Macaca mulatta: one gene and its partners. The protein of the gene in region 4 interacts with the protein of the main gene of each other region in a pairwise test. Links are inferred from orthologs where the notes say so. Each region holds a gene or a part of one and is shown on either strand. Other genes may lie near its edges. The genes, in order: NDN, BAZ2B, RALYL, FXR2, SYTL4, BYSL and SRPK2.

The links.
Region 1: the proteins of FXR2 (region 4) and NDN interact in a two-hybrid assay, tested with the Homo sapiens proteins (2 studies listed by BioGRID and IntAct). The link is inferred for Macaca mulatta from reciprocal best matches to the Homo sapiens genes FXR2 and NDN.
Region 2: the proteins of FXR2 (region 4) and BAZ2B interact in binary tests that used the Homo sapiens proteins (3 or more experiments, as listed by UniProt). The two-hybrid records come from large-scale screens. The link is inferred for Macaca mulatta from reciprocal best matches to the Homo sapiens genes FXR2 and BAZ2B.
Region 3: the proteins of FXR2 (region 4) and RALYL interact in a two-hybrid assay, tested with the Homo sapiens proteins (2 studies listed by BioGRID and IntAct). The link is inferred for Macaca mulatta from reciprocal best matches to the Homo sapiens genes FXR2 and RALYL.
Region 5: the proteins of FXR2 (region 4) and SYTL4 interact in binary tests that used the Homo sapiens proteins (3 or more experiments, as listed by UniProt). The two-hybrid records come from large-scale screens. The link is inferred for Macaca mulatta from reciprocal best matches to the Homo sapiens genes FXR2 and SYTL4.
Region 6: the proteins of FXR2 (region 4) and BYSL interact in binary tests that used the Homo sapiens proteins (3 or more experiments, as listed by UniProt). The two-hybrid records come from large-scale screens. The link is inferred for Macaca mulatta from reciprocal best matches to the Homo sapiens genes FXR2 and BYSL.
Region 7: the proteins of FXR2 (region 4) and SRPK2 interact in binary tests that used the Homo sapiens proteins (3 or more experiments, as listed by UniProt). The link is inferred for Macaca mulatta from reciprocal best matches to the Homo sapiens genes FXR2 and SRPK2.

Annotation. Positions count from the first base shown.
Region 1 is NC_133412.1:6,264,488-6,268,221, forward strand, and holds NDN (necdin), read left to right. Parts: upstream 1-1,313; 5' UTR 1,314-1,427; coding exon 1,428-2,393; 3' UTR 2,394-3,234; downstream 3,235-3,734. UniProt on the Homo sapiens protein: Growth suppressor that facilitates the entry of the cell into cell cycle arrest.
Region 2 is NC_133417.1:64,255,072-64,258,571, reverse strand, and holds part of BAZ2B (bromodomain adjacent to zinc finger domain protein 2B), read left to right. Parts: intron 1-672; coding exon 673-733; intron 734-1,509; coding exon 1,510-1,618; intron 1,619-1,886; coding exon 1,887-1,988; intron 1,989-3,500. UniProt on the Homo sapiens protein: Regulatory subunit of the ATP-dependent BRF-1 and BRF-5 ISWI chromatin remodeling complexes, which form ordered nucleosome arrays on chromatin and facilitate access to DNA during DNA-templated processes such as DNA replication, transcription, and repair.
Region 3 is NC_133413.1:94,791,488-94,795,530, forward strand, and holds the start of RALYL (RNA-binding Raly-like protein), read left to right. Parts: upstream 1-1,243; 5' UTR 1,244-1,379; coding exon 1,380-1,395; intron 1,396-1,538; exon of another isoform or gene 1,539-1,616; intron 1,617-4,043.
Region 4 is NC_133421.1:9,102,900-9,106,899, forward strand, and holds the start of FXR2 (RNA-binding protein FXR2), read right to left. Parts: upstream 2,801-4,000; 5' UTR 2,651-2,800; coding exon 2,570-2,650; intron 2,237-2,569; exon of another isoform or gene 2,189-2,236; intron 1-2,188. UniProt on the Homo sapiens protein: mRNA-binding protein that acts as a regulator of mRNAs translation and/or stability, and which is required for adult hippocampal neurogenesis. Specifically binds to AU-rich elements (AREs) in the 3'-UTR of target mRNAs.
Region 5 is NC_133426.1:107,544,590-107,548,089, reverse strand, and holds part of SYTL4 (synaptotagmin-like protein 4), read left to right. Parts: intron 1-956; coding exon 957-1,058; intron 1,059-1,527; coding exon 1,528-1,603; intron 1,604-2,004; coding exon 2,005-2,095; intron 2,096-2,204; coding exon 2,205-2,308; coding exon of another isoform or gene 2,309-2,314; intron 2,315-3,500. UniProt on the Homo sapiens protein: Modulates exocytosis of dense-core granules and secretion of hormones in the pancreas and the pituitary. Interacts with vesicles containing negatively charged phospholipids in a Ca(2+)-independent manner.
Region 6 is NC_133409.1:140,247,021-140,250,520, forward strand, and holds part of BYSL (bystin), read right to left. Parts: intron 264-3,500; coding exon 101-263; intron 1-100. UniProt on the Homo sapiens protein: Required for processing of 20S pre-rRNA precursor and biogenesis of 40S ribosomal subunits. May be required for trophinin-dependent regulation of cell adhesion during implantation of human embryos.
Region 7 is NC_133408.1:144,711,940-144,715,439, reverse strand, and holds part of SRPK2 (SRSF protein kinase 2), read left to right. Parts: intron 1-2,624; coding exon 2,625-2,694; intron 2,695-3,344; coding exon 3,345-3,437; intron 3,438-3,500. UniProt on the Homo sapiens protein: Serine/arginine-rich protein-specific kinase which specifically phosphorylates its substrates at serine residues located in regions rich in arginine/serine dipeptides, known as RS domains and is involved in the phosphorylation of SR splicing factors and the regulation of splicing.

The DNA of each region.
Region 1 (3,734 bases), on a different chromosome or scaffold from region 4:
GGGAATGGCTCTGCCAAAAGTGTTATGTGCATGCAAACCCAAAGAGAGAGAGCACAGAAAACCCTTCAACATCAACCTGCTTGAGGAAAAATAAAGTGACAAGTGGGAAAAGATACATACTCACAGCGAGGACTCTAGACATGTTAAGACAATTTTTAAATGTGCTTTTGGCTTCGAGTGGCAATAATTAGACTCAACATATTTAAGAAGCTACTGATGAGAAGAAACGCTGGAAGCGCTGAAGGACCACATCAGCCCAGACCAAGGATGCTGAAGCAGCATCAAGGCCCTTGGTTTCAGAGGCTCCACCAATGACCCTTTTTTCAGGGAGACCCTGTAGGAGCGAGTTTTGTCTTTGCCCAGTGGGAATCTGTCTTCTATACTTAGAAAACAGGGTTACCCATGTTGCCCCTGCTACCCTTGGGTCATCTCAGAGACACTACCAGATATTACCTATGAGACCTAGTTGTTTTTTTTTAAATCTCAGGAAGGACTTGGGTGTGGCTTCCAACGTGGAGGACTCAGTAGCTTCAGAGAGGGTCCTGGGAGAAGGTGAATCGGAGAATAAGGGTGCTGGGCAGAGGGAAAAAGACATTATTATACAAGTTTGTGCTAAAAGATATAGCAATCCTTCTGCTGTGGACTAAGTATGGAAAAAAATAAAATGGAATCAAAGTGACCCAAAGGAAATGTAAAACTCAAATTTATGCCCACTAAAGCATTAATGATGCTCTAAGTCCGCTGCCTACTTAAAAGGTTCATAGTTCACATGGGTTGACAGGAAATTACGTTAAGGACACGCTGCATTTCTCCTTTTCTTACAACCCCTCTGATTTGGTAGGGAGGGAGTCAATCATTTTTTTATTGGAATTTCTCAGGATTCCAACTTCAGACATACACTTTACACATTTTCTTGGACAAGCCCGACTGTTCCTCTCACTCGTTCGCATAAAGCTCAAGTTTACACAGCCGCCCAGACCTTTCTCTGGGACGCTCATATTTAACTTAATTCTGGATATATCAGGTAAGCGTTTCCCAAGAAACTTGACCCCAACATCCCAAAAACTTAAGTTATCATCTTTCTCCTAAACTGGCCCCTTCTCCAGTACGCATCCATCGCACTCTTCTCCTGCCCTAGATCCCCTCAGCCCAAACGGGAAACCCCGGGATCGCTCTCTCCGCAGGTGAAGCTTAGCCAGGGACCCTCCCCGTCGGGGCTCCGCGCTGCCCCGCCCGCCCCCAGCCGCTGGCCAAGGCCGCAGTCGCGCAGGCGCAGTGCCGCGTCCCGCCGCCGCCCCGCCCTGCCCGCCGCTGCGGAAGGCGCCGCGCACAGCAACGCGCACTTCCTCTCCAGGAATCCGCGGAGGGAGCGCAGGCTTGAAGAGCTCCTGGACGCAGAGGCCCTGCCCTTGCCAGACGGCGCAGATATGTCAGAACAAAGTAAGGATCTAAGCGACCCTAACTTTGCAGCCGAGGCCCCCAGCTCCGAGGTGCACAGCAGCCCTGGGGTTCCGGAGGGGGTTCCTCCGTCCGAGACCCTGGCAGAGCCGCAGAGCCCTCCTTTAGGCCCGACGGCCGCCCCGCAGGCCGCGCAGCCTCCCCAGGCCCCGAGCGACGAGGACGACCCGAAGGCCCTGCAGCAGGCCGCGGAGGAGGGCCGCGCCCACCAGGCCCCGAGCGCGGCCCAGCCCGGCCCGGCCCCGCCAGCCCCGGCGCAGCTGGTGCAGAAGGCGCACGAGCTCATGTGGTACGTGCTGGTCAAGGACCAGAAGAAGATGATCATCTGGTTTCCAGACATGGTGAAAGATGTCATCGGCAGCTACAAGAAGTGGTGCAGGAGCATCCTCCGGCGCACCAGCCTCATCCTCGCCCGGGTGTTCGGGCTGCACCTGAGGCTAACCAGCCTGCACACCATGGAGTTTGCGCTGGTCAAAGCGCTGGAGCCCGAGGAGCTGGACAGGGTGGCGCTGAGCAACCGCATGCCCATGACAGGTCTCCTCCTCATGATCCTGAGCCTCATCTACGTGAAGGGCCGCGGCGCCAGAGAGAGCGCGGTCTGGAACGTGCTCCGCATCCTGGGGCTGCGGCCCTGGAAGAAGCACTCCACCTTCGGGGACGTGCGGAAGCTCATCACTGAGGAGTTCGTCCAGCAGAATTACCTGAAGTACCAGCGCGTCCCGTACGTGGAGCCGCCCGAGTACGAGTTCTTCTGGGGCTCCCGGGCCAGCCGCGAAATCACCAAGCTGCAAATCATGGAGTTCCTGGCCAGGGTCTTTAAGAAAGACCCCCAGGCCTGGCCCTCCCGATACAGAGAGGCTCTGGAGGAGGCCAGAGCTCTGCGGGAGGCTAATCCCGCTGCCCACTGCCCTCGCAGCAGTGTCTCCGAGGACTAGCCAAGTCTGGAGGCAGATGAATGCTTTCTGATCCTCACCAGGGCTGTGGAAGGGTGGGGGTGGGTCATTAGAGTGTTCAGGATTTACAGTGCAGTATTCACGTGTAACTTTTACGTTTTCAGTACAGTGCTTTTATACCTTTAATGCAATGTTGTGTTCATTTGGGTACTATTGTGTAGTATTTAGGATGTATGCATGTTTGTTTATATGTAAGCTTGGTTGGTGCTTTCGCTTTTGTGGTACCTTTCTTGGATTTTTGTATCAGAGACGTGCTAAACTGATGAAGTACATTGAGAACGTTTCCATCTTATTAATTTACATGGGACTGAGATGTGTGTTGGGGTAGACTGCTCCTGCAGAGTTTGGAAAAACTCACCAGCAAAGCCGGCCTAACCAAGAAATGTCAAGGCCCTCATGACCTTGCTGGGGACTGAAAACATCCTCGTGGAGTAAACTAATTTGAACTGGACTGGTCTCAATGTGAGAGCACTTGGCACACTTTACTAAACACATATACAACCCCACCGTGAGTCAACTTTAAAGTAAACATTAAAGATTCTTGTGATACAATCATTTCTGGAAGTGTACGTTATCATTTTAACAAAGCAGTATGGTTGGGAATGAGACAATTCTCTGTTTTACAGTATACACAGATATAACTATTTCCCCTAATGGGGTGGGAAAAATCGCTACTCATGATTACTCCTAAATTTGTGAAGTTTGTAGTTTTGTCTTTAACTCATGTTTATTTCAAAAACATGCACAAATATAGAAAAGCATAAAAAACAAAACAGTAAGATTGTCCATAATCACATCCTATGGGAATAAAAACCAAAAATAATTTCCTTCCCTTAAGTTTCTACATTTTATCAAAATTAATAGATGCTTTGTGGGCACTTAAAGAGTGAGACATTGTACATGAGCCCTGACGTGTATTTTTCTCCTTTTATCTAATCCTCACAACAGGCCTGTCAGGCAGGCAAGAACTGCCTCTGCACCATGGAGGAAACACAGGAATAATGTAGGTAATGGACTTTCCATAGCTCATACAGGTTAATAAGAGAAGGCGCTAGGACTAGAACTCACAATGAATCCAGAGTCCACATTTGTCCCCACCTGCCTTCAACTCCCCTACACCCTGTGGTTTTTAGGTTATTTATTTTTAACTTTATATTGAAATTTCATGTGGGAGCCCACACTCACATGGGTTCATGGGCCACACATACAAAAAGGCTAGGAATTTTATTTTTCTAATTCTTAGGATATTTTGGAGAAAGCAATATCATTCTGATTCTGCAAATTAAGAAACTTACTTTTGGAGAGATTAATTAACCTAATAAA
Region 2 (3,500 bases), on a different chromosome or scaffold from region 4:
AAAATATAGATGTATACAGTAAAATATTTTGTTATTTTACTTATTTCATTCTCCTCTTGTCAATTTCTAGCTTTGCTTTCATTTACCACATACCAGTATGATAGCCTACTAATTTTAGATGAGTTTATTTATGTTTGTGAAACTTGATCTCGGTCTTTGAAAATTTTTACATAAAATCATAATCCTGATCCTTGGTGGTTTAGGTTAATTAAAAGACCTGGTAGTGTTTTTGACTATGGATATATATGGACATAGAAATTAAATCATCTTTAAATGTATGAGCCAGCTGTTGAAATTTTTCAGCATCCGAAAACTCATATTTTCAAAGTCAACAATTTAAAAAAGTTTTCTGAAACCTCTTTCTGTCCTGCTTCTCTAGCCATTTCTTTAATAACAAAATGAGAGGAAAGGTATATATTTTTACCTTGAATTGTATTTTCTTTAGAGAGAAAAACTGGTTATTCTGTCATTCAGACCTAAAAGAACAAAAAAGCCCCCTGCCTTATACAGTGTTTTATTGAAAACCATCTAAAAATAATGTATAAATTATAGAAATACACTAAATAATCCAAGTCATTAACATATACTTTTTAAAAGAAAACTTTCTAAACGATCAAGATTATTATCTCTATTAATGAATTTTTTATATTAACCAATTGAATTTTTTTAAAGGCACTTCCAAAAGAAGAAGAGTAACAGATGAACGTGAACTGCGTATTCCATTGGAATATGGGTATGCAAAATAAGGTTTCCCTTTTTCTTTTTCCCCCATATATTTATGCACGTTTGATGTATACTTGATTTCTTATTCTCTACAATTAATAAAAGAAGTACATAGCTGCATAGTATTTATTAGAGCGGAAGAGCCAGAGCAAAGGGCAAGGAATTTGGTATATCAGAAAACTGAAATTAATCCTGTTTCCTGGAGGTATGGCAGAGCTGGGGTGGGATGATACAGCCAAGTAGGAACATGACTGATAAAGAACCAAGAGCAAATCAGATGGCAAAGGGCAGGAGTACAGTGAGATTGTGAGAAGTTTTTGTGAAGATAGAATTAAAGGACAGTAAAAGCTACTTTGGTCAAAATTGAGGGACTCAACCAGAGTTTGGCTAAAATGGTTTAATTAGAAATGACAGCTTTTAGACTGAATGTACGTGAACCCCAACCAGCAGAGAGCCAGGTTTACTTTACTCCTCTGTTAAAGCTTTTCAGATGTAAAAATCACTATACGTTGACACGTTACTGAAATGTCAGAGTACCCAAAGTAATCAGTTACGATTTCTAAGCATTTTGATGGAGTTTAATATATAAATTGAATAATTAATTTTTTAGTTGAATTAGCTAGAAATCTAAATAATTTTGACAGTTAATATATTTGGGTTGTTTGAGGAGTTTTTGTTTTCATTTTTCATGTTTTCTAGAGAACATGTATACTTTAACTTATTTTTAATTTTTAAAAGCTGTCTTAAAATTAAGTATGTTATAACCTTCATTTCTGTTATGTGTAGCTGGCAGAGAGAGACAAGAATAAGAAACTTTGGAGGGCGCCTTCAAGGAGAAGTAGCATATTATGCTCCATGTGGAAAGAAACTTAGGCAGTACCCTGAAGTAATAAAGGTACATACTTTTCACCAAATAATGTACATTTGGTGCCTATTAAGCATGATCATGTACAAAAAAAAAGTGTACTCCTTTCTCAGATAAAGTTCCTTGATACTAAATATTCTCTTGTATGGGACTATTGTACTTAACCTAAATTTATCTCCTATAAATTTATAGCCCCTTGATAGAATATGCAAAACATTAGTGTCCTGAAGCTAGCTATACATCAAAGCTGGGTTGTAATTATTAAAACCTGAAGTGGAAAAATATGTGATTTTTTCAGTATCTCAGCAGAAATGGAATAATGGATATCTCAAGGGACAATTTCAGCTTCAGTGCAAAAATAAGAGTGGGTGACTTCTATGAAGCCAGAGATGGACCGCAGGTATCCACTTTTTAAAAAGTATAGTCTTTGAACCAAAAAGTAGTACCATAACCTAAATGAAGTAAATTTCACTACACTCTGGAGCATTGCCTTTCTTTAATTAGTTCATATGGCTATACATATAACTTTGTGGTAAGCACTCATTAAGGCCTCAATTAACTATGTTTCAGTAACAAGGAGCTTTGACATAATAGGTATCTTTTTCATAAATAAGTAAATTTTTTCTGTTTTTATTAATTCAACCAATAACTTTACAATTTATATAGGTATAAAAGCATCTGCATATTCATATGAAATATAGGAAAACATTAGTTTCCTGAAAAGTACAGCTAGTTTTAAAAACTAATTTGAATATGAAGACCCTATTATAATCAGTCAGTCCAAAAGAGGATATATATGTCCTAGTGTTTTGGAAGAATCTTGTCCATTTGATTATCCCACACTATATGTTGCATTTTCACAAGTTTGATAAGTTTTTTTGTCATTTCTTAAAACTAGGTGAATGAAATTTCTGGTTTTTGCAGAAATTCAGTTTTTACATTAATTGGTGCACATTTCTGAACATATCACCACAGCTCCCTTTGAGCTTATAGTGTTAAGTATACATCCTCACTAGTCAGCAAAAAGAACCCACCAAGGAGATCTCATTTCCTATATGTTTTCTTTAATGCTTTCTCTTTGTTCCTTAGTTGTATTCAGCTGCATGTGCTTATTATTCCCTTTAGCTGCATTGAAAGGGGTCCCAGTTAAGGAGTGATGAGACCTAGATTCTTGTTAATCTGTGAAATACTCTTGTAATTCTGAACAGTAACAAAATAGTGCCCACTTTGCCCACAACTTTGTTATCTGCCAAATAGAAACAATTTTAATATATATAAATATATTACACTTCTGTCTCATAGGATTATGGCAAGATTAAAATGAGATCATATGCATAACAATGTTTCAAAAAGGCTAAAATGCTCAGCCACCTAAAGTTGATATTTTCCTTCTTCATTGAACCTGTCTCTCTTCTGTCCCATCATAATGCATAGAAAAAATTTTTTTGCCAATTAATATTTTCTTTGTGAATAGGGAACTTTTCTATCCTATCTTACCCTTAAATTTTATGATTTAGAAATGGAAAAGGTCTCCCTCATTCTGTAAGAGGTTTATTTTGAGTTTGGAAGCTTAAAGGAGTTTTTTAAGGTCACACACAAGGCTGAGACATAACTAGAACTCAAGGTTTCTGAAAAAGTAATCTTTTGCATACATCATGTAACCTATTTTCTATTGTAGTCCATGACTTTTAAAGAAAGAAGTTATGTCCAGATCTACCTGTCTCTTTATTGGTAGTTCTAAAATGTCAAAATGTGTTTATCTGAGATTTATAGAAATATATGGAAATATATTCTAGGGTTTTCTATTTTTTTAAACAAAAAAAATTTTGACTTAGACTAAATCTGTCACCAGATTCTTAGAATTTTAATGAACCACAGTGTTACACATTCTATATACACTGCATCAGTTTTA
Region 3 (4,043 bases), on a different chromosome or scaffold from region 4:
TTTTTTGTTTTTTGTTTTTGTTTTTGTTTTTGTTTTTTTCTTTTTTTCCACTTCTTTGATTATTGTTTATATTTGGGAAAGCTGGAGGAGCATGATTTTGAGCCTTTTCCTGAATCCAAGTTTTTCTAGCATGCGATCGTTCTGTAGACAAGGCGCTGTGTCTCGGAGTCCGCGGCGACCGTGCCCGCTGGGAGCGTCTCCCAAGTCCAGCAAAATGTGCAACTGGTTTTATGGAAAAAGCGATGTGAAGTATGGTGCCTATTTTTTTCCTTTGTAAAAATAAAAAGCATGTTTCTAACTCTTTTTTTTGCATACTCTTTTTCTGATAACATTTTTGTATAGGTGGGATTTTACGGCAGTGTTTACAAGTTTGTGGTCTTGCAATACTGGTGCAAACCACTGAGCAAAGACATTAATTTTATATTTTTGTGCCCTTTTTGGAAGCCGGTGAGAACAAATTCGTTTTTTTCCCTCCTGTTTTTGATACCCATTGATAACATGAAACTTTTCTTACAGCTGGTGACTGGGATCATTTTTAAGCAAAATACTTTTTTCCTCCTTTAAATTAACTATGACTTTTGCACATTTGACTTTTTTAAAAAAACCGAGATAATTTTATGATAGATATCCTGATATCTATATCTATATTGTCCCTTATTTCTCCCCCTTCCCTCCCCGTAAATCAATTTTCAAATGATGGCAGTGGAAGGTTTTTCTGGAAAAAAAAAAAAAAAAAAAGAAGTGCGGTTTGGTTTCCTTGTCAACGGAGGATGAAGTGAACAGCTGAGCAGCTCGCAGAGAGCAGGTACTTGGTCCCCTTGGAGGCGTTTCCCGGGTGTGCAGTGGCAACACTGGTCCTAGCAAAGAAATGTGTGAGTGTGAGTGTGTGTGTGTGTGTGTGTGTTTGCGCGCGCGCATCTCCGGGCAGTGTCCGCGCCGGAGGTGGGGAGAGCCGCGCCGGGAGCCAGGGAAAACCAAAGTCAGTTCCCGGCTTCAGGATCGTTTTCTAGATGTGCACAAAATACAGTCCCCTCCCCCCACCCCCCACCGTGAGCTGCGCCCAGGTCATCTCCCGGCTGGGCGGGTGGTGTCTGCGCTGCGGGCGGCGCCGGCCGGGCACTAGGTGGCCAGCGGGCCCTGTAAGTTCTCCGAGGGCCACTTGCACAGCAGGAGGGGCGAGGGCCGTGTACGTGGCGCAGGCCGTCGGGCCGGCTAGAGGGGACCCCCAGAGCACCCGGGAGATGGGGGAAGAAGCGGCAGAGACCGCATCTTCCGGAGGGACTGGCTCCAGGCCACGCGGGCCGGAGCTCGAGACATTTCCAGAGCCTTGAGGATGGCACCGGCCCCCGCACGCTCAACTCCTGCTCCTCCTCTTCGCAATGAGTAAACGACGCAGTAGGTCTTTCCCAGCCTATTTTGCTTTTCCAAAGGGCTTTGCTTTCTTAGTGGTGCTGTCTTTGGATCTTTTCTTTATGCCTGTTGTGTTGCGTTGGTTTTAAGTGCCTGCTGGTGTCGTCTTCCAGGGAATGGGGAAATAGTTTCTTATAAGATGGTCACTTGGGTTTAATGTTGAGGACGACGCTGTTAGTTTGCAGTAATGACCCTACAGCTCTAAGGTATAAAAATGCCCCTTATTTAAATTTTATTAGAGGGAGAGTTTTCCCTCTTTTTAACCACCTAATACTGGCTCTAAAGGTTTTCCCCTGAGAACTGTGTACAGGGCAGGAGTGAGGGGTTAGTGATAGAGGTGATGATTTCGTGTGTTGGTAGCATTGAAATACTCAGTGTTGAATGTATTCTATTATATTTTATGATTATCCTGTTACATGTTTTCAATATAATTTAGCATTACTTTTCAGAGATGGACCAGTTCGCAATAAAAAGCCTTTTCTGTATTTAACACTGTGACAGAATCTGCTGGAAATTTTTCTGTCCAAATAAATTTCGTAAAGGCATACATCTTAAAATCTGGAGAGTCACCATTATTTAAATACTTTGATTTTCTTACCTTTCCCCCCCTTAAATGAAAAGCTTAGCTTTAAATTATCATGTGTATGTAGTTTGGATTCTGTAAAATAAACATAAGGCAAATGAAACAACTTTTTACCTCTCGGATGAAGTTTTCTTCTGGGTAACTACAGAAATAAAAACTGACTCCAGCATACAGAGGGGCCCATGACAAAGGGGTTTATAACATACACTGGCTTTTTCAAGCAAATATTTCACTGTCTGTAACCTCAGTTTGTGGAATGAAAAGTTTTATGCCTTATTTTTTACTCTTTGTGGTCAAAAAGTAAGGAGTGCAAAGGGCCATTTATCTGTAGAAGATTAAAAGTTAGTGTAATATCTGGAAAGCTATATATATTTTTTATTCACAACTCATGCAAGTATCTCAAAAGTCTTTGGACATTTCATTGTATGTGAGGTATTTTGTTCTCACAGTAGCTTTTCCCTGTGAAGGAAATCCTCTTGCGTTTATATAAAGAAGATAGTTTATGTCACTGTCTGTGGACACCATATTTGATATCTTGATGTGTATAGTTCTAAGATTTGAAGCCAATATGATGGCACTAAGCCTGAAATTAGGATTTTCTTATTTTGTATAGTGAGCTAATTACTAAAATATATGGTTCAAACAGCTAACATATGGTTCAAATAGCTAACATAAAACATTTAAAAAGCCATTTGCAACATTCTGTGATTTTAAAAATCATTTAAATTATAACAATGTATGTACATAGAAGTGCTTATTTATTAAAAAGCAAGACAATTTGTGTGTATAATATATTTTTGTATGTTTTATGTGTTGTATGTCGTTTAGTTCTTTTAAGAGAGAGAGAGACAGAGCAAGCAAGCAAGAAAGAGCTTGAGTGATCGAACCTGCATTTTCATTAAGAGTATCAGTTGCTGCCCTAAGGTAGAGGTAGTTTGTGTCTTAAGATTGGACAAAACACTAGCTGTATTGTATGATCTTTCCCAATGAGATTGAAACCATTAATGGGACCAAAGACGATTTTAATGTGAGGACAGACAGGTAGTTGGGCTTTAATTTCTGTAACTTAAGACCGTTCTAAGAACCTTTGGTTATCTATGTTTTCATTTATTTAAGATTCATTTTTGATTATATTGTATACTTGTATTACATTTGTGCCTATTACATTCAAAATTTTCAAATTTCTTCCTGTGTGAATCATACTGGGAATTCTACAACTCTTAAACTGGCCACCTGTTTAGTTTTTGATTTAAAATTGTTGAAGGTAGTATCCTACATTTAGCACCGCCTACTGGCTTCTCGTGGAAAAAATACATTTTTTCATTCGCCAAGAAACCCACAGGGATTTACATCAATTTAATTGTGCAGATCTTTTCAACTGCTTACTGAGAGAGAAGGAGGGAAAAAAAGTTTGTATGCTGTAAGGAGAGAGGGTTTCCAGGGTAAAGGCAGGGACCGAGGGAAAGAAGACCCACAAACTAAATTGGCATTGGATCACTATCTGACCTCAAACATTTTACTGTCTAAACTGTGACAAAGAAATAATCACAAAATGAAAACTATTAAATTTTCTAGGACTTTCTATGGGATAATAAAATGTGGGTATTGTTTAAAATCTTGGATTACTAAATTAATTTTACAGTGTCTTTCTCAATCGATATAAAGAAAGAAAGTTCTAGTTGGAATTCTGTCTTGAGTGTGTGGTCTGTCGAATAATATTTAAATGAATAACTTTTCATCATTGAAGATTAACAATTAATTATTTTTATATGTATTTTTCATGGACATAAACAATCACGTAGCACCCTAATTTTTTTCTTAACATGCATCAAATAGTCGCACTGTGTTGTTGTATATACAAGGGGGAAAAGTTCCAAACATACAATTATAAAGACACATCCTTAGCCATAATAGATGCGTTACCTTTCTTAAAAATGATAGTTGGTTTATTTTCTCTAATTTGTATGAAAGTCTAGTGGCTGAAAGAGCTACTATAATAATACAAACAAATGATGCCTTCAGAATATAAAAATTATTAATTAGAAAAATA
Region 4 (4,000 bases):
GGTACTGAGAGTGGAAGATTAGCCTGAATTTAGGGATTTGTGGTTTTTAACTCAGGAACGGGGCAGAAAATGCTAACCTGCCCAGATCCACATTACCACATTACCTGGCTTTCAGCTCAACCCCAGACTCTACTCTCTGAATCAGAGTATCCTGGTCCCGATGTACTCAAGTCTATCATTGCCCACAGCGCACAGGAGAAAGGGAAAAGATTCAGAGAGACTTTCTGCTGGACACTTATATGTAGAACAGAAAACGTGTCCCTTCCCAGCCATCTCATACAGTTCATTTGAACTGGATACCAATCTTTCCCAGCTGTGCAGGGCTCCTGTGCTTCCTAGAACAAAGCAAACATCATATCTTGATCTTGGACTCAACTTAAGAATGACTTTTCTTGGAACTCAGAATTTTGGGGTGGTAAGGACCCAGATGAAGGAAAAGATACCGAGGGAAACAGGGAGGGCCACTTTAGGAAGCGTATTTCAACAAAGGTAGTACAAGTTTGGGGAAAAGGATATGAGAGACAAATGTGCTCTATCAAAAGCAGAAAGGAATTAGAGACTTTTGCCAAAAAAAACAGAAATGCTATGGAGGCAGGCTAGAAGAAAAAGTCCCAAGAGTTAGGCAAGTATGCAGAAAATGACAAAAGAGATCAGCAGGGAGCTTCCTTCAGCTAGACAGGGAATTAGGTGATCCCTGGGGATTACACAGGAATACAGAAGTATTAGGAGAAAAAGCCAAAAACTTGAATTGAAACAGTAAGTTAGACATGGGTACCCAAAGTCACCGCACAGAAAGAAATCTGATGAGGGAAGTAAGGCAAAAATGGGTAAGTATGAAGAGTAAGTAAAAAATGACTACAATGGCGCGGTGGCTCACGCCTGTAATCCCAGCACTTTGGGAGGCTGAGGCGGGCAGATCACAAGGTCAGGAGATCAAGACCATCCTGGCTAACACGGTGAAACCTCGTCTCTACTAAAAATACAAAAAACTAGCCGGGCGTGGTGGTGTGTGCCTGTAGTCCCAGCTACTCAGGAGGCTGAGACAGGAGAATGGTGTAAACCTGGGAGGCGGAGCTTGCAGTGAGCCCAGATCGTGCCACTGCACTCCAGCCTGGGTGACAGAGCCAGACTCCGTCTCAAAAAAAAAAAAAGACTACAATGAACTTAGCAACTGAAGTAGAGGCAGAAACCACCCAAGGGAAATTACAAGACCCTCTACAGTTACAGAAAATATGACTTAGGGAAGGAGTCAAAGAAAGACACTTCCAAGGGCATGAGAAACTAGAGAGGGCTACTGTGGGGGGGAAAGGCCTGAGGGGAACAGAAGGAAAGGGGGAAGGGGGATCTACTCTTAACAAGTAATGCCATGGGAAGGTATCTCTTCTACAGCTCCCCAAGGTGAAATCAAAGAATGAGACAGAAATCAGGAGAGTCTCTGGGACAATTCCAGGCATCAAATCCAAAAGAGGTTCAGAATAGCAACAGTCAAAGAAAAACTCTTGGGAGGCAAGAAAGGGTTCTCTCTGGCTTAATCCAAATGGGAAAAAAATGTCCTAGAAAATGGATTCAGAGCAGATAAGGAAGGTGGTATTATAAGGAGTTCTAAGGAACCAAATCCTGGGCAAAGGGGGAGGTCAAATAAGGAAAGGTCTTTGAAAGATGATCCCTTCTTCCAAAAAAGGTTGTCAGATTCCCGAACTGGGATAGTTGGCCAAGAGTCTTCAAGAAGTGGAAATCTTAAGAAAAACAGAAGGGAACCCCATGAGCTTCCTTTTAGAGATCCTTTTAGAGATCATGACTATGAAGCTCACATGCCTCAAGACGAAGAAACTCTAAGAATGACCTGAAGGTATCTGAGGTCTAAGTGAGACCTCAAATCCATTCTGAGTAGAATGGTAACCAGTGGGCCTTGAGATCAAGGTGTGGTGGGGTGAAAGACTTGCGAAAGATGCCACCTTATGGCTGGCTGAGAAGCAACTTGACTGATCCAACCCAGGGTTCCTGAGGTCAAAGATGCCAAACGTCGTAAATGGATCTGACCATTTCTCCTTGGCTTGGGAACCGGAATATAAGCTGAAAGTGGGGTGAGTGTTCCAGAGTCAGTAGGCAGAGGCCTCTCTGAGGAAGATGAAAGGATCCGATATGGGACAGAGGGGGCCTTCCCAAGGGGACCGTGCAGAAGAAAGACAATTCTCCATGTGCCTGGACCGTGGGGAAGATGTGATTAAGGTCTAAGGTATGTCTTCCATCAGACAACGGAAACAGTCAATTAGAAGCTGGGTAAAGGGGTCTCTCCTGGGGAGCGGGGAGCGCCAAGCCAGGGACAATAATGGCCTTAAGTTCATTCTCCCTGAGATGGGGGTAGAAGCAGGTGCATTAAAGGGGTCAAAAATAAAAGGAACAGGTTCACTCCAAGAGGTCTCTCAGGGAAGGCTGCGGGTGGGAGCAAGGGTCTAAGATTCTAAGGGCCAGGACTCAGCTCCAGAAGCTCGATCCCGCCCCACGCGTTCCTGCTCCGGCCGGGGGAGGGGGCTAAGGACCGGCGTCCCCAGTCGGCGCGCCGTCTCACCTTGTAGAAGGCCCCGTTGGAGCCGCGCACCTCGACGGGCAGTCCCGGCTCCACATCCCCCCCAGAGGCCAGGCCGCCCATGGCGCCGCCACCGCCTCCGACTCCCCCGGCGGCGGCTGCAGCAGCAGTCTGAGTGCGGGCCGGGCCAGGCCCCCGGCGTCTCCCCGGAGGAGGAGCCGGAGGGGGAGCCGCGGGGGGCGGGAGCCGGGCCGGCCCCACGGCGGCCCTGCCACAGCCAACGAGCAGGGGGCCGGGGCCGGGCCGCTCCCCGTCCGCCGCCGCCGCCTTGGTCTCCGCCACCGTGAGGGAAACGGCCGCCGCCGCCGCTGCCTTCGTCACCTCAGCTTCCGCCTGCCGCCGCCCCCGCTGCTGCCTCAGTCCCGGGACCCGCTGCTGCCGCTGCCGCTCCACAGCCTCCACCTCCCCCTGCCACCGCCTCCTACTGCGCAGGCGCACCGGGCACCCGCCCGCTGCGCGCGGGGCCCCGAGGGCCACGGCGCAGGCGTCAAGGTTAGAGCCCCAGCTAGCGCTAGCCAGCGCATCGGGGCTTCCACATTCCCTTTCACTCTCTCACGCCCCCTCCTGGTCGCTTTCTCGCGCTTGCGCAGAACAAAATTAGCCTTCTTTCTCCACCGCCCCACCGCCCAGCAGCCCCGTCTCTTCCTTTCCGCGCCCCACAACCCTGAGAACCAACCAATCAGAGGGAGGGAGGGGCCGGGCTCGCTCAGTCCGATTGGGCGGCGGCCGCACTGTCACACAGCGCTCAGGCCACACCCACGCCGCCGCCGCCTGCCCCACCGGGCTCGGACAAGTTAGGGATGGGCATGCGCCTGAACGACTGCTTGGTCACTTTCCCCACCTTTGTCTTTCTTGGTGCGCACGCTCCAAAAAAAAAAAGAAGAGAAGTCGCCGCAAGGAAAAAGGTGCTCGGTGCGCACGCGCTGAGCTTTACTGTCTGCGCGCATGCATAGCCTATCTTTTAAGAATTTGTAACTGTGCTGTAGTAGATTTAAGTCATAGCTCTTGCCTTGAAGAGATTGTGATACAATGAAAGTTTTGGCCAGGAGCGGTGGCTCACGCCTGTAATGCCAGCACTCTGGGAGGCCAAGGCGGGTGGATCACCTGAGGTCCTCGGATCACCTGAGGTCAGGAGTTCGAGACCAGCGTGGCCAATATGGTGAACCACCCCACCCCCGCATCTAATAAAACACAAAAATTAGTCGGGCGTGGTAGCACGCGCCTGTAATCCCAGATACTCGGGAGGCTGAGGCAGGAGAATCACTTGAACCTGGGAGGTAGAAGTTACAGAGAGCCGAGATCGCGCCATTGCACTCCAGCCTGGGCGACAGAGCAAGACTCCGTCTCAAAAAAAAAAAAAAAAAAAAAAAAAAGAAAGAAAGAAAGAAACGAAAGAAAGTTTTAAGAATAGTA
Region 5 (3,500 bases), on a different chromosome or scaffold from region 4:
GGGGCGTGGCCAGAGAGATCTGGAGGAATTGACATATAAGGAGAGACCTGAAGAAGGAGTAGATTGAGCCAGGTGAAAAAAAGTGGCCATTGTGAAAAGAATATCTTAGACAGATAAAAGAGGGAAGATGGAGAGCTTCAGGATATTCAGAGAAACAAAATAACTTTGTTTTTCTAAAATATAAAGCTTGAGGAGGAGTAGGGGGTGAAAGATGAGGCTGGAGAGGGTGAGCAGGGGCCAAATCATGAGGATTTTTTTTTTGCCATGCTAAGGAGTTTCAGCTAAATCCCAACAGCAATGGGGAACCACTGAAGAGTTTTAAAAGTATACTCAGGGCTGGGTGCGGTGGCTCATGCCTGTAATCCCAGTACTTTGGGAGGCCAAGGCGGGCGGATCACGAGGTCAGGAGATCGAGACCAACCTGGCTAACACGGTGAAACCGTGTCTCTACTAAAAATACAAAAAAATTAGCCGGGCATTGGGGGTGGGCACCTGTAGTCCCAGCTACTCTAGAAGCTGAAGCAGGAGAATGGCGTGAACCCAGGAGGCAGAGCTTGCAGTGAACCGAGATCGTGCCACTGCACTCCAGCCTGGGAGACACAGTGAGACTCTGTCTCAAAAAAAACCAAAAAACAAAAAAGTACCCAGCTGGGCACCATGGTACATGCCTGTACTCCCAGCTACTCAGAAGGCTGAGGCAGCAGGATTGCTTGAGCCTAGGAGTTAGAGACTGTTGTGCACTATGATGGTACCTGTGAATAGCCACAGTACTCCAGCCTGGGCAACATTGTGAGACCCTATTTCTTAATTTATTTATTTATTATATGTTTAAAGTATACTCATATTTATTTTAGAAAGATCACTCAGGCTACGATTGTGAATGGATTGGAAAGAGGCCTGACTAGAGGCAGGAGAACCTGCTTCCTTTCAATATTGGCTCTTGGTTTTTATTCTAGTGTGCTATTTGAAGTGCCAAAGCTGAAAAGTGGAAAGAGTGCATTGGAAGCTGAGAGTGAGAGTCTGGATAGCTTCACAGCTGACTCGGATAGCACCTCCAGGTGGGGTTCCCCCCATTTCCCTCATCTCCTCTAAACCCAAGTTGTGATTTTGTTCTGCATCATCAGTGTTCCTGACTTCTGTCCTCAGGAAGTTGAACGAAGTATTTTCTGTGTCCTCACCAGAAGTCTTTTAAGTAGCACGTCTACCTATTTGGCTCTGAGCACAGCTTCTTGGAACATATTGGCATCCCTAGTCAGTTCCCCCAGTACCTTGGAGTATTCTTCTTAGCCCAGTAGCAACTGATGCTGCTGTCCCTTAAGAATGAGGGTATGAGTGTTTGTGTTTGTGCAAAGTTGCCTCTCTGATCTTCTGCATTCCTCCCAGGTAAATCACATGCGAAGTGTATCTTCTGAATTTGGTTATTACGATGACCCAAGCCACTGGCTCTCCTTCCATAGAGCTTTGATTCCTGGGTAGAAGGGGAAGGGTAGGAGGTGACTTAGTTATAACTTCTGAATCTACCTCCAGGAGAGACTCTCTGGATAAATCTGGCCTCTTTCCAGAATGGAAGAAGATGTCTGCTCCCAAATCTCGAGTAGAAAAGGTAAGTTTCAGGTTATTGAGCCACCTTCCTTCCTCCCTTCCTTCCCTTCCTCCTTCACCTCCCTGTCTCCCTCCATCTTTCCCTCCCTCCCTCCCCCTCACTCTTCTCTTCCTCTTTCTTCCTTCCCTCCCTCCCTCCATTCTCTTAGGCAGAATTTAAATCAGGAATTTCAACTAAACAAATTTCAGTTCAGATTCATTTGGGAGCATTTTCTAAAGTTTTGGTTGAAATGTGTGAGAAAATAGGTTTTGTACTATTTCTAGGCATTTAATCTTTCCTTTAAGTTTGTCGTAGTTTAGCGAAAATCTGAGCCTTATTCTTCTTAAGACTGTCATTCCTTACTCACTCCTTCTTCCTATCCATCTGTCCTTTTCCATTTTCTTGCCCTTGTTCCTTCCTAGGAAACTCAGCCTGGAGGTCAAAATGTGGTATTTGTGGATGAGGGTGAGATGATATTTAAGAAGAACACCAGAAAAATCCTCAGGCCTTCAGGTAACTGGTTTTCCTTACTGGTCTTTTGAGACTGAAGTTCTGAGTACCCTTGATGGGCTCTTGGTATGAATAAGTCTCTTTGATTTGGCTTTTTTGGTCTTCCCCTCAGAGTACACTAAATCTGTGATAGATCTTCGCCCAGAAGATGTGGGACATGAAAGTGGCTCCTTGGGAGACAGAAGCAAATCCGTCCCAGGCCTCAATGTGGATATGGTAGGTGCCCTTATATTTTACTTGGTCACTACATGAAATTTTACTTATCTGGAGTTGGCTTTAGTACCTGATATTCTCAATCAACCTATTTAATTATTTAGGAAAAGGCAACATGAAACTTGATACCCCCAAGTTTCTAAAGGAAAGGACTGTCTTTGCTATCTCTTTTTTTTTCTGTTTTCTTTTTCTTTCTTTCTTTTTTTTTTTTTTTTTTTTGAGACGGAGTTTCGCTCTTGTTTCTCAGGCTGGAGTGCAATGGCATGATTTTGGCTCACTGCAACTTCCACCTCCTGGGTTCAAGCAATTCTCCTGTCTCACCTGAGTAGCTGGGATTACAGGTGTGCGCCACCATGCCCGGGTAATTTTTTGTATTTTTAGTAGAGATGGGGTTTCACCATGTTGGCCAGGTGACCCAGGCTGGTCGCAAACTCCTGACCTCAGGTGATCCACCTGCCTCGGCCTCCCAATTTTTTTTTTTTTTTTTTAAGAGAGAGCATCTCACTCTGTTGCCCAGACTGGAGTGTAGTAGCACAATTATAGCTCAGTGCCACCTTGAACTCCTGAGCTCAAGCTATCCTCCCACCTCAGCCTCCTGAGTAGCTGGGACTATAGGCGTGAACCATCATACCCGGCTACTTTTTTTTTTCTTTTTTTTTGAGAGATGGGGGTCTCACTGTGTTCCCAGCCTGGTCTGGAACTCCTGGGCTCAAGTGATCTACCCGCCTCTGCCTCTCAAAGTGCTGGAATTACAGACGTGAGCCACCACACCTGGCCATCTCTTTTATTTTCTAATAAATTGCTGGATATATGGCTGGGGCTCAAATAAATACTTCTTTTGATTAAAATGTAAAGAGGGTTGGGGAAAGTCAAATGGAAAAGAGTTATAGCTTCTATGAAAAACATTAAATATTCTTATCTTATTCTTTTGAGATATGAGAAGGATGGTTGGAATAGAGCTGGGAACCCTGAAATGGGAAGACATGTAAAAAGAAGGATATGAGGCCGGGCACGGTGGCTCACGCCTGTGATGTCAGCACTTTGGGAGGCCAAGGCAGGTGGATCACCTGAGGTCAGGAGTTCGAGACCAGCCTGGCCAACATGGAGAAACCCCGTTTATACTAAAAATACAAAAATTAGCCGGTTGTGGTGGCGGGTGCCTGTAATCTCAGCTACTCTGGAGGCTGCGGCAGGG
Region 6 (3,500 bases), on a different chromosome or scaffold from region 4:
GGGCCCTTTCCTAAAGTAGGGAATCGTAAGTCTGCCAGGGAACTTGTTTTCCTGTGGGAACTTTCTACAAGCACCCATTATCCCAAATCCCCAGACCTACCTGGCAGGAGGGTTCTTGTTCATGAACATCTCTATGGCACGCTCATCCTCAGGGTCCACGACCACCTCTGCATGGTGGCCCACCCCTGTCATTGTGGCAGCCTTCTCCAGGGTGGGCCACTCCTCATCCTCGTCATCTGATCCATCCTGAGGCATTCTTGGACCTAGAAGAGAGGAGACTAAATGGATGAGCACAGCAAAAGGTAGCTGAGGGATTTAGTCAGTTTAACTTTAGTCATTATGTAGTACAGGCCTCACATGTGGTTGTGATAGACACAGGTATGTGCAGTGAAACAAATGAGGCATGCATTAGCTCCCTGTCCCCAGGGGCTTGCAATCATGCTTGAGAAACAAAACGTATACACAGGAAACAATGAGAAAGAAATGGCCATAAGTAATAGTTAACATACCATACTCAGTTATGTAGAAGGAACTTCTTTTTTTTTTTTTTTCAGATAGAGTCTCACTCTGTCGCCCAGGCTGGAGTGCAGTGGTGCAATCTCGGCTCACTGCAAGCTCCGCCTCCTGGGTTCATGCCATTCTCCTGCCTGAGCCTCCCAAGTAGCTGGGACTACAGGCACCCGCCACCACACCCAGTTAATTTTTTGTATTTTTAGTAGAGTCGGGGTTTCGCCACATTGGCCAGGCTGGTCTTGATCTCCTGACCCCTAGTGACCCGCTCACCTCGGCCTCCCAAAGTGCTGGGATTACAGGCGTGAGCCACCGCGCCGTGCCTGTAGAAGGAACTTCTAAACACTGTACCCATGTTAACTGTTTAATCCTTACAAACCCAAGAAGTGGCAGGGCGTGGTGGCTCACGTCTGTAATCCCAGCACTTTGGGAGGCTGAGGTGGGCGGATCATGAGGTCAAGAGATTGAGACCATCCTGGTCAACATGGTGAAACCCTGTCTGTACTAAAAATACAAAAATTAGCTGGGTGTGGTGGTGCGTGCCTGTAGTCCCAGCTACTTGGGAGGTTGAGGCAGGAGAACTGCTTGAACCCAAGAGGTGGAGGTTGCAGTGAGCCAAGGTCACGCCACTGCACTCCAGCCTGGCGACAGTGAGATGCTGGCAAAAAAAAAAATACATAAAATTAAAAAAAAATAAATAAACCTTCTTACGGAACATTGGCAAAAACTTAAAAAATAAATAAATAAATAAATAAATAAAAATAAACCCAAGAAGCGGATACTATTATTATTATTATTTTTTTTTTTTGAGACGGAGTCTGCTGTCGCCCAGGCTGGAGTGCAGTGGCCGGATCTCAGCTCACTGCAAGCTCCACCTCCCGGGTTTACGCCATTCTCCTGCCTCAGCCTCCCGAGTAGCTGGGACTACAGGCGCCCGCCACCTCGCCCAGCTAGTTTTTTGTATTTTTTTTTAGTAGAGACGGGGTTTCACCGTGTTAGCCAGGATGGTCTCGATCTCCTGACCTCGTGATCCGCCCGTCTCGGCCTCCCAAAGTGCTGGGATTACAGGCTTGAGCCACCGCGCCCGGCCGCGGATACTATTATTATACCCAGTTTCAGATGAGGACACTGAAGCACCAAAAAGTTGATAATTTGCCCAAGACAGGTAGTCTGGATCTAGACTGCATTCTTCACCACTATTCTACACATATTAGGGTTTGATTATATGCCACAATGAGTGGTAGAGACGACATATGCACTTAGAGGATGAGTGGCGAGGACAGTTAGACGCTGGATGGGCAGTTTGGGAGCAGGCGGAGTGTGTTCCAGACGCAGAGAAAATAAGGCTTCGGATTTAAGTGTCTCCTAGGCAATAGCAATAAATAATGCTAGGTAGGTGGGAAAGGTGAAGCCAGACTGGAGGGCCTTTAAAGTCAGGCAGTGGAGTTCAGATTTCAATCCACCAGTCTATTTAAATAAATGAAGTTGGCTGGGCATGGTGGTTCATGCCTGTAATCCCAGCACTTTGGAAGACCGAAGTGGGTGGATCATCTGAGATCGGGAGTTCGAGACCAGCCTGACCAACAAGGAGAAGCCCTGTCTCTACTAAAAATACAAAAAATTAGCTGGGCGTGGTGGCGTGCGCCTGTAATCCCAGCTACTTGGGAGGGAGGCCGAGGCAGGAGAATCGCTTGAACCAGGGAGTTGGAGGTTGCAGTGAGCCGAGATCGCGCCACTGCACTCCAGCCTGGCCAAAGAGCAAGACTCCATCTCAAAAAAAAAAAAAAAGGGCCGGGTGTGGTGGCTCACGCCTGTAATCCCAGCACTTTGGGAGGCTGAGTCGAGTGGATCATGAGGTCAGGAGATCGAGACCATCCTGGCTAACACAGTGAAACCCAGTCTCTACTGAAAATATAAAAAATTAGCTGGGCATGGTGGCAGGCGCCTGTAGTCCCAGCTACTCGGGAGGCTAAGGCAGGAGAACGGCGTGAATCCGGGAGGCGGAGCTTGCAGTGAGCCAAGACTGCGCCACTGCACTCCAGCCTGGGCGACAGAGCAAGACTCCGTCTCAAATAAATAAATAAATAAATAAATAAAATAAATGAAGTAGTCCATTTAAATAACTTCCATTTTTGGAAGGCTACATGTCTGGGCATCTGGAAAGGGGGGCTAATAATCCAAGTGGGGAACTATAATGTTATGTATCAATAGGTCATTAACAACAAAGGCAGTGGCAGTATGTGATAAACGCTAAGGGGGAACAGACATTTTGTCTCCACGTGCCAACAATCTCCCAAATGTGTACTTTGTAGGTGGTTCTCCTTAGCGCCAGACCCTAACTCCAGGTGTCTCCTGTACAGCCGCTCTTGGATGACTCACAGTCACCTCAAATCTCACCTGTCATCAACTATATTAATTTTCTTTCCCTCCTAGGTCTATAATGCTAACCATCCACAGCTCAGTAAATGGTACCACTGTCCACCCAGTGCTAAGCCTGGGAGGCGCTCCTGCCTCATCCCTTGCCCTCACCCTCAACACCCAATCAATTAGTAAATCCTATTCAATTTTACCTCATAGACTGTCTCTCACATGCTTCACAGCCCCATCTAAGCCTAGATCAGCATCATTTCTTGCCTGGATTTATTCAACAGTCACCCACTCATCTCCATGTTTCTGACCTTGCTTCCCTCCAACTCATTTTCCACTCTGCAGACGGTAATCTTCCAGAAACACATATTTGATTTGATTAGCCCTATACTTAAAATTCTCCAGTAGCTTTCCATTCTTCCTATTGCTGTAAGGATGGTTTTTAAATCTTTTGCAAGTTTGCTCCTACCTACCTGACCATCATTCATTACCCATTAACCCAGTCATTCAGCAAACACTGAGCACCTACACTATATGTGAGGCACTGTTGGGGGTGCTGGCAATATATCCATGAACAAGAGAAATCAAAAGACTTTGTTCTATACAGCTTACATTCTAATTGG
Region 7 (3,500 bases), on a different chromosome or scaffold from region 4:
AGGCTAAGGCAGGTGGATCACTTGAGGCAAGGAGTTTGAGACCAGCCTGGCCAACATGGCAAAACCCCATCTCTACTGAAAATACACAGATTAGCTGGGCGTGGTGGCACGTGCCTGTAGTCCCAGCTACTCAGGTGGCTGAGGCAGGAGAATCGCTTGAACCCGGGAGGCGAAGGTTGTAGTGAGCCAAGATTGCACTGCTGCACTCCAGCCTGGGCAATAGAAGGTTATACTGGGAGTACCTGAGTTGAAGGCAGAGGTTTTTCATTGTAGTGTGCATTTGCTCTGCTGTACATGTTGTATTGTTAAGAGAATCTAGTCACTCTCCAAAGAACCAAAAACGGGTAGCATTACAGCCTGCATCTTCCTTCTTCCTTTAAAAAAAAAAAAATTATTTCGCCAGACGCGGTGGCTCACGCCTGTAATCCCAGCATGTTGGGAGGCTGAGGCAGGCAGATCACAAGGTCAGGAGATCGAGACCATCCTGGCTAACATGGTGAAACCCCATCTCTACTAAAAATACAAAAAATTAGCCAGACGTGGTGGGGGGCACCTGTAGTTCCAGCTACTCGGGAGGCTGAGGCAGGAGAACAGTGTGAACCTGGGAGGCGGAGCTTGCAGTGAGCTGAGATTGATTATGCAATTGCACTCCAGCCTGGGCGACAGAGCAAGACTCTGTCTCAAAAAAAAAAAAAAAGAAAAATTATTTCATTGATTGGCTTCTATACATGTTTTCTTGGAAATATAAGGGTGCTAATCAAAATGATCATTTTTTCAAAGAATACATAGCTGACATATTTTGGCGGTAAGAAATATGTACAAAGCTGGGCACAGTGTAGTGCGCCTGTAGTCCTAGCTTCTCTAGAGGCTGAGAAAGGATCATTGGAGCCCAACAGGTTGAGTCCAGCCTGGATAACATAGTGAGGTCCCATCTCAAAAAATATGAAAGGAAAAGAAATGGATGTGACCTGATCGAAGTCATTTTGAAAATTAATTAAAAGAGTTAGCATAGGGCTCAAGGCAGGGGTTGAAAAGCAGCTTGGAACTTGATCCAAGCTTTTCAAGTCCTCGTTGTCCCATTAGAGTTTTCAGATTTTTCTCTTAGCTTGTAAGATACTGAGTTGATTGTCTCCCAGGCTGGAAGGACTCTCCTGGCCATTAAGTGTGTAATCTAGTTGTTCCACTTGGATTTGGGGCCAATAATGAGGTTTTCCTGCCCTCACCTGGGATTGGCCCAGCTGTCTTTTTTGTTTATTGAGTGGAAAGGAGAGGCCCTACGTAAGGGCCTTCCTGCGTTTTCTGCTGGTGCCTTCGGGCATCCACAGTGCTGGGACCACCAGCTCACCATGCTGAGATGTGACGTGTCTGTGTCCTGCTCAGACCTATGCCAGGTTCAGGGCAGGATCCTGAGTTCATAAACTAATGCTTACCGCCTGGGCAGCTGGCAGTCATCTTGTCACCATGCTTCCTTCCTTCAACTGATTCACATGCAGTCTTTTTTTAAAAAAAAGGTGAAAAGATGTGGTCCTGGGCTGACTGTCCCACTCTTGGTTTGTTAAAGACAGTGCTAGGAGAGGTGCCCCCTCACCCAGGCAGGTGAGTCTTCCCTTAAGGGTTCCTTCCCAACACTGTGTGGTCATTGAAAGAAAAAGAAGGTAGGTTGATGCAGTGCAGTTGCCCCAGCATTGGCTCCTGGGGGCGGGAGTGGGGAGGGCAGTCACAGATCCACAGGCATCAGTGATTGGGCTTCTGAACACCTTTTGGGATAGCAAGATCCATTCAGAATAGAAGCAGCTATGAGAAAAACCAGAAATGGGATTTAGCTTATTCTTTTTTTCGCTTTTAAAACATACTCTTTGATCAGCAGAGCAGTAGCAGTTGCCATATTTATATATTGTTACCAGCTTAAACTCATGTTCTTGAGGGTTTTTTTGTGAGCAAGGGAAATGGGAACAAATGGCCTTCCCTACATACTGGCATGCTGAGGGACAGCCAGTGGCCACCCAGGAAGCCAGTGCTCCGTGACATCTACAAAAGGGTCTGCAAGGCCATCTGCGTCCTCTGGCCCTGGGGACAAAGAGGGTCTGTTTTGTTTCCAGGTTTTCCTTTGGTTGAATCAGAAGTGAATGAGATGATGATGAAAATAGATGATGAGATGCTGAAAATAGTCCTCGGTTACTAAAACATGAAGGTCTTTGCCTAAAGGACGCAGCAGTGTCTGCTATACAGAGGCCAAGGCTATTATAGTGGTTGAGGCAGGTGCTGGAGTCAGATGGGCTTGGTTGAGTCCTGGGTTGAACTCTCGTTCTACCGTTTATAGAGTGCATACTGTGCTTTGCCAGGCCTGCACACAGGTGCGGCTGAATCACTGACGTTTGGTTTTGCTTCCTGCAAAATGAACAGAATACATAGCTCTTATATCTTTCCTTAGAAGAAATGTAAAAATACTTCTGAAACTTCTTTGAATGTGGAAGAAAGAAAAAAATTAGTATTGAGCACTTTTGGGAGGCGATTTTGTTTGATTCAGATCTTCATAAAGTGGCGGTCTCTTCTGTAAGGAGAAAAAGCTGTTGACTTGGGGGCCAGTCTCTGAAGTGCTTAGCATGTCGTCTGTTGTATCCTAGGCATTTGAGCTGGCAACGGGAGATTATTTGTTTGAACCACATTCTGGGGAAGACTATTCCAGAGACGAAGGTGAGTATTAGTGCCTGCTGAATACCTCATTCTAGGTCTCCTGCCAGCCCTGAACTTCTGTAGAGTACTGTATTTTTGTACTGAAATAGAGCCATGTTTTTGGTTTTCAAACACCAAATTCAGATGCTTTTCCTTTGAGTTTGACGCCCCCTCAGTCTCAGTGAATGGGCAGAGCCTGCCTGGTACAGGCAGCACTCCAGTGAGCCCTCAGGGGCCTACACCAGCGGCTCTTCCTGGCCTTGCACAGGGCAGGAACCCAGCTGTCTGAGAGAGGACAGATGATACAGACCTGAAACCTCTCTGTGGTCCTTTCGACCATTGATGTGCTGCCCATTTCTCTGTCCTGTTTGGGAGCTGAGTTGAAAACCCAGGAATTCTGGCTTGAATTCCATCTGTAAACCTGACCATCTCCATGCTTATTTGCTTGCGATGCTGGGGTAGCCTGGGGTGAGCTGGCCTCAGTCACTGTTACTGCTCCTGGTGGTGCCTGAGGCCTGTCATTCCTACAAGCCTCTGCATGGATGTGCTGCAGACACTGTTGATTTGAATCTATTTCTGATTTTTTACTAATTTCAATTTTTCCCTCTTCTTTTATCCCATCCTTCCCTTTGCCCCTCCCATTCCCATATCCTTTTTTCTCTCCTCCATAGACCACATAGCCCACATCATAGAGCTGCTAGGCAGTATTCCAAGGCACTTTGCTCTATCTGGAAAATATTCTCGGGAATTCTTCAATCGCAGAGGTAGTACCTCTTCTTTTTGAAAAGCGCCACGATGCAGACAGAAACTGAAGAGCAGCTGCTGAT